Linked DNA regions of Bombyx mori. The protein of the gene in region 1 purifies or fractionates together with the protein of each later gene. This does not show direct contact. Links are inferred from orthologs where the notes say so. Each region holds a gene or a part of one and is shown in the gene's direction. Other genes may lie near its edges.

Region 1 (6,451 bases):
TTTAACTTTACCATTTCCGATGTTACGATTAGTATGTATATTAGAAATCACATTGACTTAGTTATTGTTTATCGAAAATTTATCTTGCGTTGAATGGGTTTATTACGCTGTCGCATCTACAACTCAAGAAATACTATGGAAATTAGATCTCTTTATATTAAATTGCAATTAGAACGTGTGTCAGTTTACTGTATTTGATGTACATTATTAAAAGTCGATAGTTGAAAGCCGAATAATAAGTAAAAAAATAGTAATATGAAAGAAGAAAAAAAAATACATACTTGCTTTTTAATCAGCCATGGTCTTGCACGCAACTCCACTCCACGCAAATAAATTAAATAAAAAAATTAATAAACACCCTATATAATATGATAAAAGTAATAATAACACTAAATCCGTCATGTTATAATAGAGTTGTCATAATTTAACTGTAAAAATGTATAATATGTTTAATGCTGTTCGGTACGTAAAATAAATTACCCACTGTTAAAGTTTTGAGACAAGATATAAGCAAGCTTTTTTATAAAAAGTTGAGTACTACGACATACAGTATATTTAATTATCACCGAAAATAGACGAGACTGGTTTTGTCATTATTGTCTAATTAATGCAGTAGGTAGTGACTAGGCTATGTTTCTGGCATTAGCAATCGTGGCCACATAGGTGAGTCTTGTGCTCATCTGCCTACGAAAGAGAAAAAAGCGCTTGTGGCGTAATAAATAAGTCTGGTATACTCGTATCGAATGATGTGATCATAGCGCGATCTTTGTATTCGAATACTATAGTTTAAAAAACTGCTTGTCGTTGTCACTAATAAGAAGATAATATGATTTTATTGTTTCATAAAACAATAAAATTCGACCGTATAGACATTGTACTGCATGAGCAGTAGTAGCATCTGTGTTCTTTCATGTAATTGTTTAGAGGTTAGAGGCTGGACACGATTTATTATTTTTAAACATTTTCTAACAGGCACTAGTAAGTTGCTATTAAGCAGTCATTAAGCTTAGCGGTACTGGTAATGTTAAAAATCGTCGCTCTATTTGAGTAAGCTAAATAATAACGATTTTTGTGATTCGAATCTAATGAATAATTGAGTGTAATTCTCGGGCCGTATTGTACTGTTAAAAGTGCGACCTTACAACATATGTCTTGAGGTGGGTGGCGGTATTTACCTTGTAGATGTCTATGGGTTCCGGTTACCACTCCAAACCAGGTGGGCCGTGAGCTCATCTATCCATCTAACTAAACAACAATTTTTTTTAAAAAAATCGTTGCAAGACGTAGTTCGTATGTCCTATGCATTGTTAAGATTTGATAACGTCATTAGAGTAGACAATTCATTTTTGACGCTTATATAATTTTCTATGAACAATAATAAATTTTAAAATTTGCGTTGATTTCATTATATTGATACGAAATATTATAAAATTAATTAATTAAAAAAAGAAATATTATAAAATAATTCTTCAATCATCTAAGACATATATAAAAAAAAATAGAATTTTAATATTGCGTCATACTTATTGTCCGTATATTTCAGTTCAGTCGAAGTTGACCGGCGCCGCGAGGGCGGTGGTGCGCTCGTGTCGTGCGGAGATGGGCGAGATCGAGGCGTGTCCCGAGTGCTACGCGGCCGCGCATGCGCGCAAACCCACCTGGTTCACAGACGTGTGCTCCACTCCGCACATACTCTTGTGGGCTAAACTTAAAGGTATACACACAATCTGTGTTGTAATTTGTTAATAATGAAATATCTGTATGTTGGTAGGACTGGTGGTAGGACCTCTTGGGAGTCCGCACGGGTAGGTACCACCGCCCTGCCTATTTCTGCCGTGAAGCAGTAATGCCTTTCGGTTCGAAGGGTGGGGCAGCCGTTGTAACTATACTGAGACCTTAGAACTTGTATCTCGAGGTGGGTGGCGCGTTTACGTTGTAGATGTCTATGGGCTCCAGTAACCACCTAACACCAGGTGGACTGTGAGCTCGTCCACCCATTTAAGTAATAAAAAAAAAGTTCGCAAGTGCTTTTTTTTCGACCTATTCTAGTAACCTCGAGGGGTTATTCTAGATTCACCGAGCTAGTAGGTGAGCTCACGGGGCACGGAGTGTTGCTAACACTGGCCCTAGCAAGAGCAGTGCTTCGCAGAATTTACCACCGGTTAGGAAACGCGACCCACTGAGATCCGGCGAGAAACTCAGTGGGCTGTGTCCGGTGACCGGTGCTTGAGGTACCTAAAAGCACCGTTAATGGATCGGGAGGATCTGTAATGACGTGCTTAGGGCTTTGCAATCGTTGACAATCAGGGAAGACTTTTGATAGTTCCACCAACCTGCAACTGATGGCGCGCGATTAGTTTCAGCAAATGATCATTTTTTATACAACTAATCGTGCAGAGCTTGAGTTTTACTAATAAGATATAAAATTATTGGTATAGTATAATATGTCTTAGTAGTTGTATCTGTGGATTTAGTTATTGTGTGGATATAAAAGATATAATATTACTTTAGTTTTCTAAGTTAAAACTTAAAATCTTTTTCTTCTTGCCCTTATCCCACTTTGCGTGGTGTCGCTGTATAAGGATTTGTCATGAGTTTTACCACTGACCAATTGGCAGACAGAAACTCTTCTTGCCTTATATCTTCAATAATATGTACATTGTAACGTGCTATTACTGCTTCACGGCAGAAATAGGCAGGGTGGTGGTACCTACCCGTACGAAGTCACAAGACATTCTACCACCAGTAATTACGCAAAATATATTTTTGCGGCTTTGATTTTTACTATCGATATTATTCCTTAACTATGAAAGTCAAAGTCAATCGTGAACATTTGTTAAGTACGTATTTCAATAGAAAAATTGGTACCCGCCTGCGGGATTCGAACATCGGTGCATCGCTTGATACGATTGCGTCTTTTATCTTTTAGGCCACGACGACTTCAATACTTTTTATTTTTAATTATTTTTATTGCCTTTGTAGGCAGACGAGCATACGGCCCACCTGATGGTAAGTAGTTACCGTCGCCCATGGACTTCAGCAATGCCAGGAGCAGAGCCAAGCCGCTATCTACGTTATATATACTTTAATATTTTATGTGCTATTGTTACCAGGGTTTCCATATTGGCCAGCGAAAGGCATGTCGGTGAGTCCGGCCGGTCTGGTCGACGTGCGTTTCTTCGGCGCCCACGATCGAGCCTGGGTGCCGGCCAAAGACTGCTTCCTGTACTCGGAGAAGGATCCAAACAACTTTAGAACTAAGCGACAGGATATATTGGACAGCATGCAGGTTTGTGAATCGAATTCATACAGTACGTTTTGTGTTAGCAACGGCGACTTTGCCGTAGCTCGTCAATTTTTTATTGCTTAGAAGGGTGGACGAGCTCACAGCCCACCTGGTGTTAAGTGGTTACTGGAGCCCATAGACATCTACAACGTAAATGCGCCACCCACCTTAAGATATAAGTTCTAAGGTCTCAGTATAGTTACAACGGCTGTCCCACCCTTCAAACCGAAACTCGTTACCGCTTCACGGCAGAAATAAACAGGGTGGTGGTACTTACCCGTCCGGACTCACAAGATGTCCTACCACCAGTAAAAAGTGTTTCTTCTGATTTCGCTTGGAGTCCGACTGTCAATCGTAAATTGATCTAGTCTTAGAGTTATTGATAGGGCCACATTTTTTGTCAAGTGTAATACTGTCGCTACAAACACGTCTCCGTTTAAAGTTTTATAATAATATAAGTCTGCCTTTTTTTCAGGAAGCCGAAGAACACATTCGTAACATATCGAGGAAGTATGGAAAATTCGTCTACCCCCCGTTCAGAACGCAATTCGATCCTGCGAAATTAAACGAGCAAATGAGAGTGATGGTATGTACTAGGCTGTTAAATCTTGATGCGGGAGATCGAAGTCTCAGAACCGCACCCGCATCGTTTTTTTTTCCTTACTTATTTTCTGGTAGCTTAAGAGGCTATTCCAGCTACGCCCTGACGGGTAGGTGAGCTCACGGGCTCAACCTGAGAGAATTCGCTAACACTAGTCCTAGCAAGAGCAGTGCTTCACAGAATCTTACTGGTGGTAGGACCTCTTGTGAGTCCGCACGGGTAGGTACCACCATCCCGCCTATTTCTGCCGTGAAGCAGTAATGCGTTTCGGTTTGAAGGATGGGGCAGCCGTTGTAACTATATTGAAATCTTAGAACTCATATCTCAAGGTAGGTGGCGGCATTTACGTTGTAGATGTCTGTGGGCTCCAGTAACCACTTAACACCAGGTGGGCTGTGAGCTCGTCCACCCATCTAAGCTATAAAAAAATGTACAACCGGATCAGAATCGCGACTGACGGATGACAGTACTGATCTCAATACACACTAACGATAGTGATTGAGTTAAATATTCCATATTAATAATTGTTAATTAGCTCTGTCGGTTTTCAGATACCATCGTTCGAGGGTGAGATACGTGTTACGGTCAAGGATAAATCGCCGAATACAACAAAAGACAAGAGCAGGACCAATTCTAAATGCTCTAAGAACTCTACAAATGGCAGGTGACTACACTGTTTGAGCTATGTTGTAAATCTTCGCTTAGCCAATAATACCGCGCACGCCACGCAAAAAACTGGATATCTTCTAAGGATTTTGTCTGATGTGTTGCGGCTCATAAATGGCTAATACATTGCATAGTGTATTTAGTTATAGAAGATATGTAGTTTTTCCCTCTGATAACAAATTAAGCAAATTAGATTTTTGTTAAAGATAACAAAACATCGAAAACGGTAATTGCATACATAATTAATTTAGGTCACAAGTGGTCGAATAATTCGTGCAATTCTATTTATGTTCTATTAAATATTGTACTAGCGTGAACACAGAATCTAAATAAATAAATCTAGTAATTTTAACACGAAACGTTAGTCTTACAAGTAGTCAATACCAAGTAAAACTTTTTTTGATTATTATCTGTACATCTGGCATCCGAATAACCTAATCTAACCAGCTCTCGTGCTTAAGAACAGTTAAAAATATATATTTTGGTATAATAAATGATTACCGTCAATTGTGCATTGATCTAAGTTAACATAAACTCGTATTATATTTTAAATTGTGATTGTTTTGATTCGATTTACCAGTTTGATTTCTATATGCCTACTAAATATTCATTTACATTGTTAATGGCCTCCGTTAAGGTAAAAATACAATCTAGGTGACCTGGCTATACATAATGACATAGCAGAAATAATGTTTTCAGTGATATAAGCGAAGCAGAAGATCTACTGGGGCAGCCTTGTAATAAAATTAATGATAATATTAATGATTCAAAGGACGAGGTGATGGAGCAGAAGTAAATATTTTTTTTTTAGTTGCTAATAAAACAATTAGTTAAATATGTAATCAGTTAAATGCATCAAAATAAGATTTTTAATTTTATTATTTATTCATTTCGAGATATTCGGTTTCATCTGTTCAATTGATTATAACTATTATGTTGCAGTCAAAAGTTAATGGAAGTTGACGAATCTGCGGTGAAAGACACAAAAGAGACTGAAAACTCGCGGAAAAGACGGCGCTCCTGTGTTACAGACACACCGGTGCAAGACAACACAGCCAACGAGAAAAAAAAGCGAGTCGATGATGAAAAATCTGATAAAAAGATAGACACAAAAGATATGAGCAATAAAGAATTACCAAAGATCAAAAAGAAAGAACCAGAGAACGTTATTATTCCAATAGACGATGATGATTCAGTTATCTCGATCGATGAGTCAAACGATTCAGTCAAAGGTAAAGAGAAAATAGTTGAGAAAAACCGAACCGTCACTCCAATAAAAATAATATTACCTAAACATAACCGACACACTCCGAAATCTAGCGGCACCAGAGAATCTCCCAGAACTAGCACCCCCAACGATAAATCTCTTCTGGTGACGCCAAAAGATGAAAGATCCGCATCAAAACAAAAAAATAAACCAGGCAGGAGCTCCACAGAGAGACAAAGCAGGGAAAGCAAGAGTAGACATGAAAAGAGAAGGAATTCCAAAAGTAACAAATCCCTGAACGGTAGCATAAGTTCTAAAAATGAAAAAAATGACAGGATGAAAACCGATAAAAACAACGAAAACCCAAACGCTGCCAACAAAGAGAAACCCGCAAGTAAAATATCAGTTATCAAAGTTAAAGATAGCGAAGCGATAAAATTAGCAGAGAAGACTCCGCCCGCAGAGGCTGTGAAGTCGGTTAAAGATCGAACGGCCGAGGATGACGACACTAGTTTGGCGGCCATCGCCCGCGACACGGCCCGGAATGCCGACTCAGTCATAATGAGCAACCCGCCCGGCATGCCCACAATCAGCAGCGTCAGGTCCTTGTCCACACTGGCCCAGGGCACCTCAACGACGACCACAAAAACGAACACGGCATCCGCGTCGGTGGACATAACCGCGGACAGTG
Region 2 (6,451 bases), on another chromosome or scaffold:
ATTCCATTTCCAAAAATTAACTCGAATACAAAATCATTATTTATCATCATTACATTTAAAAATACAACAGATGTAAAAGAGATAAGACGTGAAATAAAATCATAAGTCGTCGAAGGTCGATTCAAACAACGCGCGTATGATGTAAAGTTTGGTATTAAACTCTCGCTGATAACGAGTTTAAATTGTACTGTGTATTCCCACTTTCTCAATAAAACAGGTACTACAGCCCAACCACGTTAAGGCATTCACTCGGCAAGGTCTCGTGAGATTACCAAAACGGATTTTTGTTGAAACAATAATAAACACGACTGTTACACGCACGCATCTCTTACGATGCATTAATTTAATAAGATTCCAACGGAAAGTCGGACATGTTTGTCGATACGTATGTGTGTACGTGTAGGACGCGTGTCGTAATGGCGGCCGCACATCGGTACGTTAAAATCAAAAGTTGACGTGGGCTCGTTTCGCAACACCTGCTCGCCGGCTGCTGTGCTCTACCCCGATTCTGATGAACCCAAATACCCCATTTGGGATTGATAACTGTATAGTATTACAATTATGATATTATTTTTTTTCATATATGGGTGGACGAGCTCACAACCCACCTGATGTTAAGTGGTTACTGGAGCCCATAGACATTTACAACGTAAATGCACCACCCACCTTGAGATATAAGTTCTAAGGTCTCAGTATGTTTACAGCGGCTGGCCCACCCTTCAAACCGAAACGCATTACTGCTTCACGGCAGAAATAGGCAAGGCGGTGGTACCTACCCGTCCGGACTCACAAGAGGTCCTACCACCACCTACCTTAAAAACTTTTTTTTAAAATGAACAACACTTACATTCCCTGCTCTGCTTCTATCATTTTAGAACTACGAATACGGCAAACGATAACCCCTGTTTAGTAAAGTATTTGAATATAGTTCTATACTATGTTTTCTCATTATATATTCAATATACTGATGATTTTATAATATTCAGTGCATTTAAATTTGTCTTCATATATTTTGAATATTTACGCATGAGTCTTGATTGTTACCGGTTCGGGGAGTTACTATCTTGTAATCGCGATTTGTAAAAACCGGTTTTGATGCTCTACATGAGAACTCAACATAGTTACATATTTTATATGAATAAGGAGAAGCCCAGGTTTGCGTACCAACTAAATAATGCAATGTCGCAAATACAAAAAAAAGACAATGTAGCGGATTTGTCACCCTTCTTGGACCCTCGCCTCGTACGATCGCCACACAATTTTCTATTGAAGCCATTGATTTTGGATATTACGTACGAGTTGTGTGTCAAAGAGCATATATACAAACATAAATAGGAATCATGTTAGTTATTTTATTACAAGTACTATAGAATTACTGTAGTTTTGAAAAGTTACTAATTACTATTCCGGCTTCTAAACCTATGATGTGTGTTCTCTATAGCAACTTTTACTGACTAAATTTTATAATAAACTAGCGACCCGCCCTTCGCTTCGCTTCGGAAACTGTAATTTATTATTGATTTCTACACTATTTAATGGATGTTATTATACATACCTTCCTCTTCAATCACTCTATTTATTAAAATAACCGCATCAAAATCCGTTGCGTGGTTTTAAAGATTTAAGCATATATAGGGATATAGGGACAGAGAAAGCGACTTTGTTTTATACTATGTAGTGATAGTGATTTTTATAAACGGTTTATTGAATTAGATGATGCTGTCTTACCTTCTTCCTGGTCGAGCTCACTTGATCTGTCGATATAAGTTGACGGCAGCCGTTGTAACTATACTTGAGGCCTTAGAACTTATAACTCAAGGTGGGTGGCGCATTTACGTTGTAGATGTCTATGGGCTCCTATAACCACTTAACACCAGGTGGGCTGTGAGCTCCACCCATCTAATCAATAAAAAAAACAATATAATTTTCTCTGTTACAGCGGCGATGGAGGAGGAATCTACCGAATTGCCAGGTACAGACGGCCTGGCGCCGAAGCAGCGGCACCAAGCGAAACACCGCGAGCTGTTCCTGTCCAGGCACGTGGAAACGTTGCCGGCGACGCACATTCGCGGCAAGTGCACCGTCACGCTACTCAACGAGACGGAGTCGCTGCTCAGCTATCTCAATAAGGATGTGAGTATGTACCCGGGGATACGAACGCACTGATAACAAAACTACATTAAGCATATCGCACTAGAGATCCCATTCCACGACGCCTTTCATGCGGCCAATGATCGGAGGCGCTGGCGGGACATTACAAGGAGCAAAATCCTGTCGACATATAATGGTCACGATCCTCAGCATTGAGGAAACGACGCGAGGAGGAGAAGCATATCGGGATTTTTGTTTTTAACCGTCCTCCCTTTGCCTTTTTCGAATCTAAGTTATTTATACTAATATATAAATCTACAGTGGTTTTTACGGATGTTCCGTTATAACTACTGAACCATGCATCCGATTGACTTGAAACTTGGTATCCATGTAGAAAATACATGTACTTAATGGATAGGCTAATATTTATATGAGTGTTGGACTCCCTAATAATAATGCCAATAAATAATAATGGTAATTTCTAATGCAACGGCTAGTCTCTTATAAAAACTAACCACTTGGATCCTAAAACTAAATTTGGATAACACCATAGAAATGTACAATTTAATTTTGAATTTAAATGTAAAAATAAAAATTCTAATTAAACATGGAATTAAAGATTTAATACGATTGTTTTAAGTACATACACGGTTATATTATGAAATAAAGGCTTCAATGTATTAGATAAGTTGCTTAATCGTTCCCACATAAATATAAAATACAGTAATTGGAAGTATTAAAATATTACTCTTAATGTTAATACATCTGTCTTAATTATGATAGACCTTACCCTAAGAGTGTCAATTTGTAATTAGAAAAAACCACAGATAATGTACTCAAAAGCTCATTATGTATGTGTCAAAGATTTTTTTAAATTAGTCCATTAATATTCAATACTGACCAGAATTATAATTACATGTCTTTTAAAAGTAATTAATTAGTTGCGTCTTGTAATACTCAAAGTAAGTTTTGGTCAAACAATAAAATGTTTCAAACGTTCCATTTCATTAAAGTCTGATCTTGATTATATAAAATTATATTGAAATGTATCCAATTATGAAGATTAAAGAAGATTTTAAAGTTCAAGTAACCAAAAGGAAAATCAAAATAATAAAATTGAATTTTAATTAAAAAACTTTTCTCTTTTGTTTCAGGACGCATTTTTTTATTGTTTAGTATTTGATCCTTCACAAAAGACTTTATTAGCAGATAAGGGAGAAATCAGAGTTGGAAGTAGATATCAGACTGAAGTAACTAATTTATTAAAAGAAGGTATGTCAATTCTAACAAATAAACTAAAGATTTAGAACATTTTTTTGTATTTTTTTTCCAACAGGATGATATCATAATCACTAAAAAGGTACTAAAGACCTTACAGTACTAATCTGAATAAATGTGGATTGCCCCTATATATTCAAATTATTCAATCTTTATAAATATAAAATTGTGTGTCAATGAGCTTACAATATAATTCAAACCAGAGATGATCAGAGAGAGAGAGTGTCAGTCAGATGTTATTGATAAATAACTACAACCTTCTACTAGTAGTTAGTCACATCCTTTTTTCAACGTAGTAATTCCTTTAAAATCTTTACCTACCCTTTTTCTTTAACCAACGCTCCTACTTATATTAGGTACCGGTAGCATGTTATTAGAGTTGATTGATACACCATCTATCCTGTGAGTTTAGGCCGCTAAGCAATTCTGTATTGTACACTATTATAGTGGTTGTTCTAATGTTATGAAACTTCAGTTCTACATACTTTATTCAATTAAAAGTGAAAGCAGTGGCATTGGCCACAAGATCTGAATGGTTGCTATTTTTCTATCATAAGGCACTGATAAACAGAAATATAAATACATAAAATAAGAGTTATCTGAAGAGAATATAATTTTGCCTAACCGTTATATGAGATCTTTCATAACTCAATTAATGGTGTAAATTGTGTTTTCCAGGCGAAGAGGACCCACGGATCAGTGAAGAATTAGAAACGTTGGTTTGGACACCGGAGCACGGGCTCACGGACCGACAGATAGATCAGTTCTTAGTTGTGTCGCGGTCCGTGGGCACGTTCGCACGAGCCCTCGACTGCTCCTCCAGCGTCAAGCAGCCCTCGCTGCACATGTCCGCCGCCGCCGCGAGCAGGGACATCACACTGGTAAATCATATCTTCTATCCTGCTTTATCTTGCTCTTGATAAGATCAGCGTGCAGAGAATTGACTGTGCGTGTGGCATTGCGATGTCAAACAGTCTTGTAGTTTAATTCAACCAAGTTCACATACCTTACATGTATATATAACTTGGGAACATTGTATTATTAAGAACTAGTCGATAGGTTAAGTTTGAAAATGAGGGTAGGTACATCTTGCAAATAGAAAGTTTGTACTGATTTTTACACCGTCTGGTATTTTACAATAATCATGGACAATGCTAAAACATGACACTTGAATCAATGTATTGCGTTGTATAAAAATACTTCGGTCTTAATATGCCAATATCAAATCAAATATTCTTGCCTCGGAATTCGTATTATGACGATTAAAAGGTTAGGAGTGTTTAAAGGTATATCCTATCTATGGATAGAAGAAAAATAAATATTGGGTATTATTATAACTACAACAAATTAAATATAATTTATTTTTAATAATACGTGGTTATTTATGATAATATGTGAATTATAGCTAATTGTATAAAGAATATCGATTTCTTAAAACTACTCTCGTACCACCTTGTCGCATGTACAAGGTTTTAAAACAAAATGATTTCTGAACTGTACCTATATAACGCATATTAATGGTGACAAACTTAGACTAATTATTTCATTATTAAATGATTTAAACGAAAATGGAAATACCAACATATTTTTTATTTATTTATTTTTTATTGCGTAGATAGGTGGACGAGCTCACAGCCCGCCTGGTGTTAAGTGGTTACTGGAGCCCATAGACGTCCACAACGTAAATCTCGCCACCCACCTTGAGATATGAGTTCTAAGGTCTCAGTATAGTTACAACGGCTGCCCCACCCTTCAAACCGAAACGCATTGCTGCTTGGCGCATAAGTTGTGTCTCTAGCTAGAAACTAACTAAAACGATGATAATGTGTTTGCAGTTCCACGCGATGGACACCCTCCACAAGTCTGGCTACAGCATAGAGTCGGCGCTGTCGTCGCTGGTGCCGGCGTCGGGCCCCGTGCTGTGCCGCGATGAGATGGAGGAGTGGTCCGCCTCCGAGGCCAACCTGTTCGAGGAGGCACTCGACAAATACGGAAAGGACTTCGCTGATATACGACAGGACTTTGTTAGTATTGCACCTTATAACCTATTGCATTAAGGCTCATTGTTATTCTGCAATAACTTCTTTGCCAATTCATTCATTGAACGTTAAAAGGAAAATTCGATGGTATTTCGAATTTAAAAACAATATTAAAATATATAATAGGGTGTTGGTACATCCAAACTATCTTTTGAAAATTCTAAAATGAAATTAACGAAATGAGCGCGATCTGATATTTTTTAAATGGTATTTTATGACCTGGTATCTAAGACCTTTAAGTCATGTCTTATTTTAATTTATATTCTTATTTTTATGAAAAATGATAATATGGAGTGAAAGGAAATGCAATGAAACGAACATGATTAATTTGAGACATTAATCAACTGGAATGAAATTAATGAGATGAGATGATATGGGATGAAATATAAAATGGTGGTCATTTCAGTAGACTTTGTGGAGGATCCCGAGAAGTTACGTCCAGCGCCTTTGTTTCATTTTCCCACATTTGTGCACTTTCACAGAAAGTAAACAGTTAATAAACCACCGTTATTACACATTTAAACCTGAAGAAACACTAAATAGACAAATTAAAACAAATCACATGACTTCACTCCTCGCGCCAACAAATCCACGGCGCGAACTGAAAACGTAAAAATGCCATAGATTAAAAATTGATTGCGATATATATAACATAAATACATAGGTGCATAATTATTCAATGAAATACAACAGTGCACTAAGTTCGAGAATTACAAACGAAGACAAACGATCTTGCGATCCACACTACCATGAATGAGTGTGAAGAATCATACTGCATTAGTATCTACTGAATTCTCATACTTTGAACTTTACATGATAAGACTTCTGTAGTACATACTTTTCTTCATCAGTACCTTAATAACAATGGTTTCCTTTCTTCTCCAAATTTTAAAATCAATGTATTAACTATAATAGTAGTATTATTATCAAAATTATATTTCTTCAATGTAAGCTCTTTAGTTTTTCGTTTCGTCACAGTTACCATGGAAAACGTTAAAGAATTTAGTGGAGTACTACTACATGTGGAAGACGACGGATCGCTA

The links.
Region 2: the proteins of MYND-type zinc finger-containing chromatin reader ZMYND8 (region 1) and metastasis-associated protein MTA3 purify together in Homo sapiens (affinity purification with mass spectrometry; 3 studies listed by BioGRID and IntAct, with this or other methods). This does not show direct contact. The link is inferred for Bombyx mori from reciprocal best matches to the Homo sapiens genes ZMYND8 and MTA1.

The regions. Positions count from the first base shown.
Region 1 is NC_085121.1:12,325,056-12,331,506, forward strand, and holds part of MYND-type zinc finger-containing chromatin reader ZMYND8, read left to right. Parts: intron 1-1,543; coding exon 1,544-1,714; intron 1,715-3,113; coding exon 3,114-3,289; intron 3,290-3,761; coding exon 3,762-3,872; intron 3,873-4,438; coding exon 4,439-4,551; intron 4,552-5,252; coding exon 5,253-5,345; intron 5,346-5,495; coding exon 5,496-6,451. UniProt on the Homo sapiens protein: Chromatin reader that recognizes dual histone modifications such as histone H3.1 dimethylated at 'Lys-36' and histone H4 acetylated at 'Lys-16' (H3.1K36me2-H4K16ac) and histone H3 methylated at 'Lys-4' and histone H4 acetylated at 'Lys-14' (H3K4me1-H3K14ac).
Region 2 is NC_085131.1:3,859,180-3,865,630, forward strand, and holds part of metastasis-associated protein MTA3, read left to right. Parts: intron 1-1,939; coding exon 1,940-2,133; intron 2,134-3,245; coding exon 3,246-3,363; intron 3,364-4,047; coding exon 4,048-4,250; intron 4,251-5,204; coding exon 5,205-5,393; intron 5,394-6,386; coding exon 6,387-6,451. UniProt on the Homo sapiens protein: Transcriptional coregulator which can act as both a transcriptional corepressor and coactivator. Acts as a component of the histone deacetylase NuRD complex which participates in the remodeling of chromatin.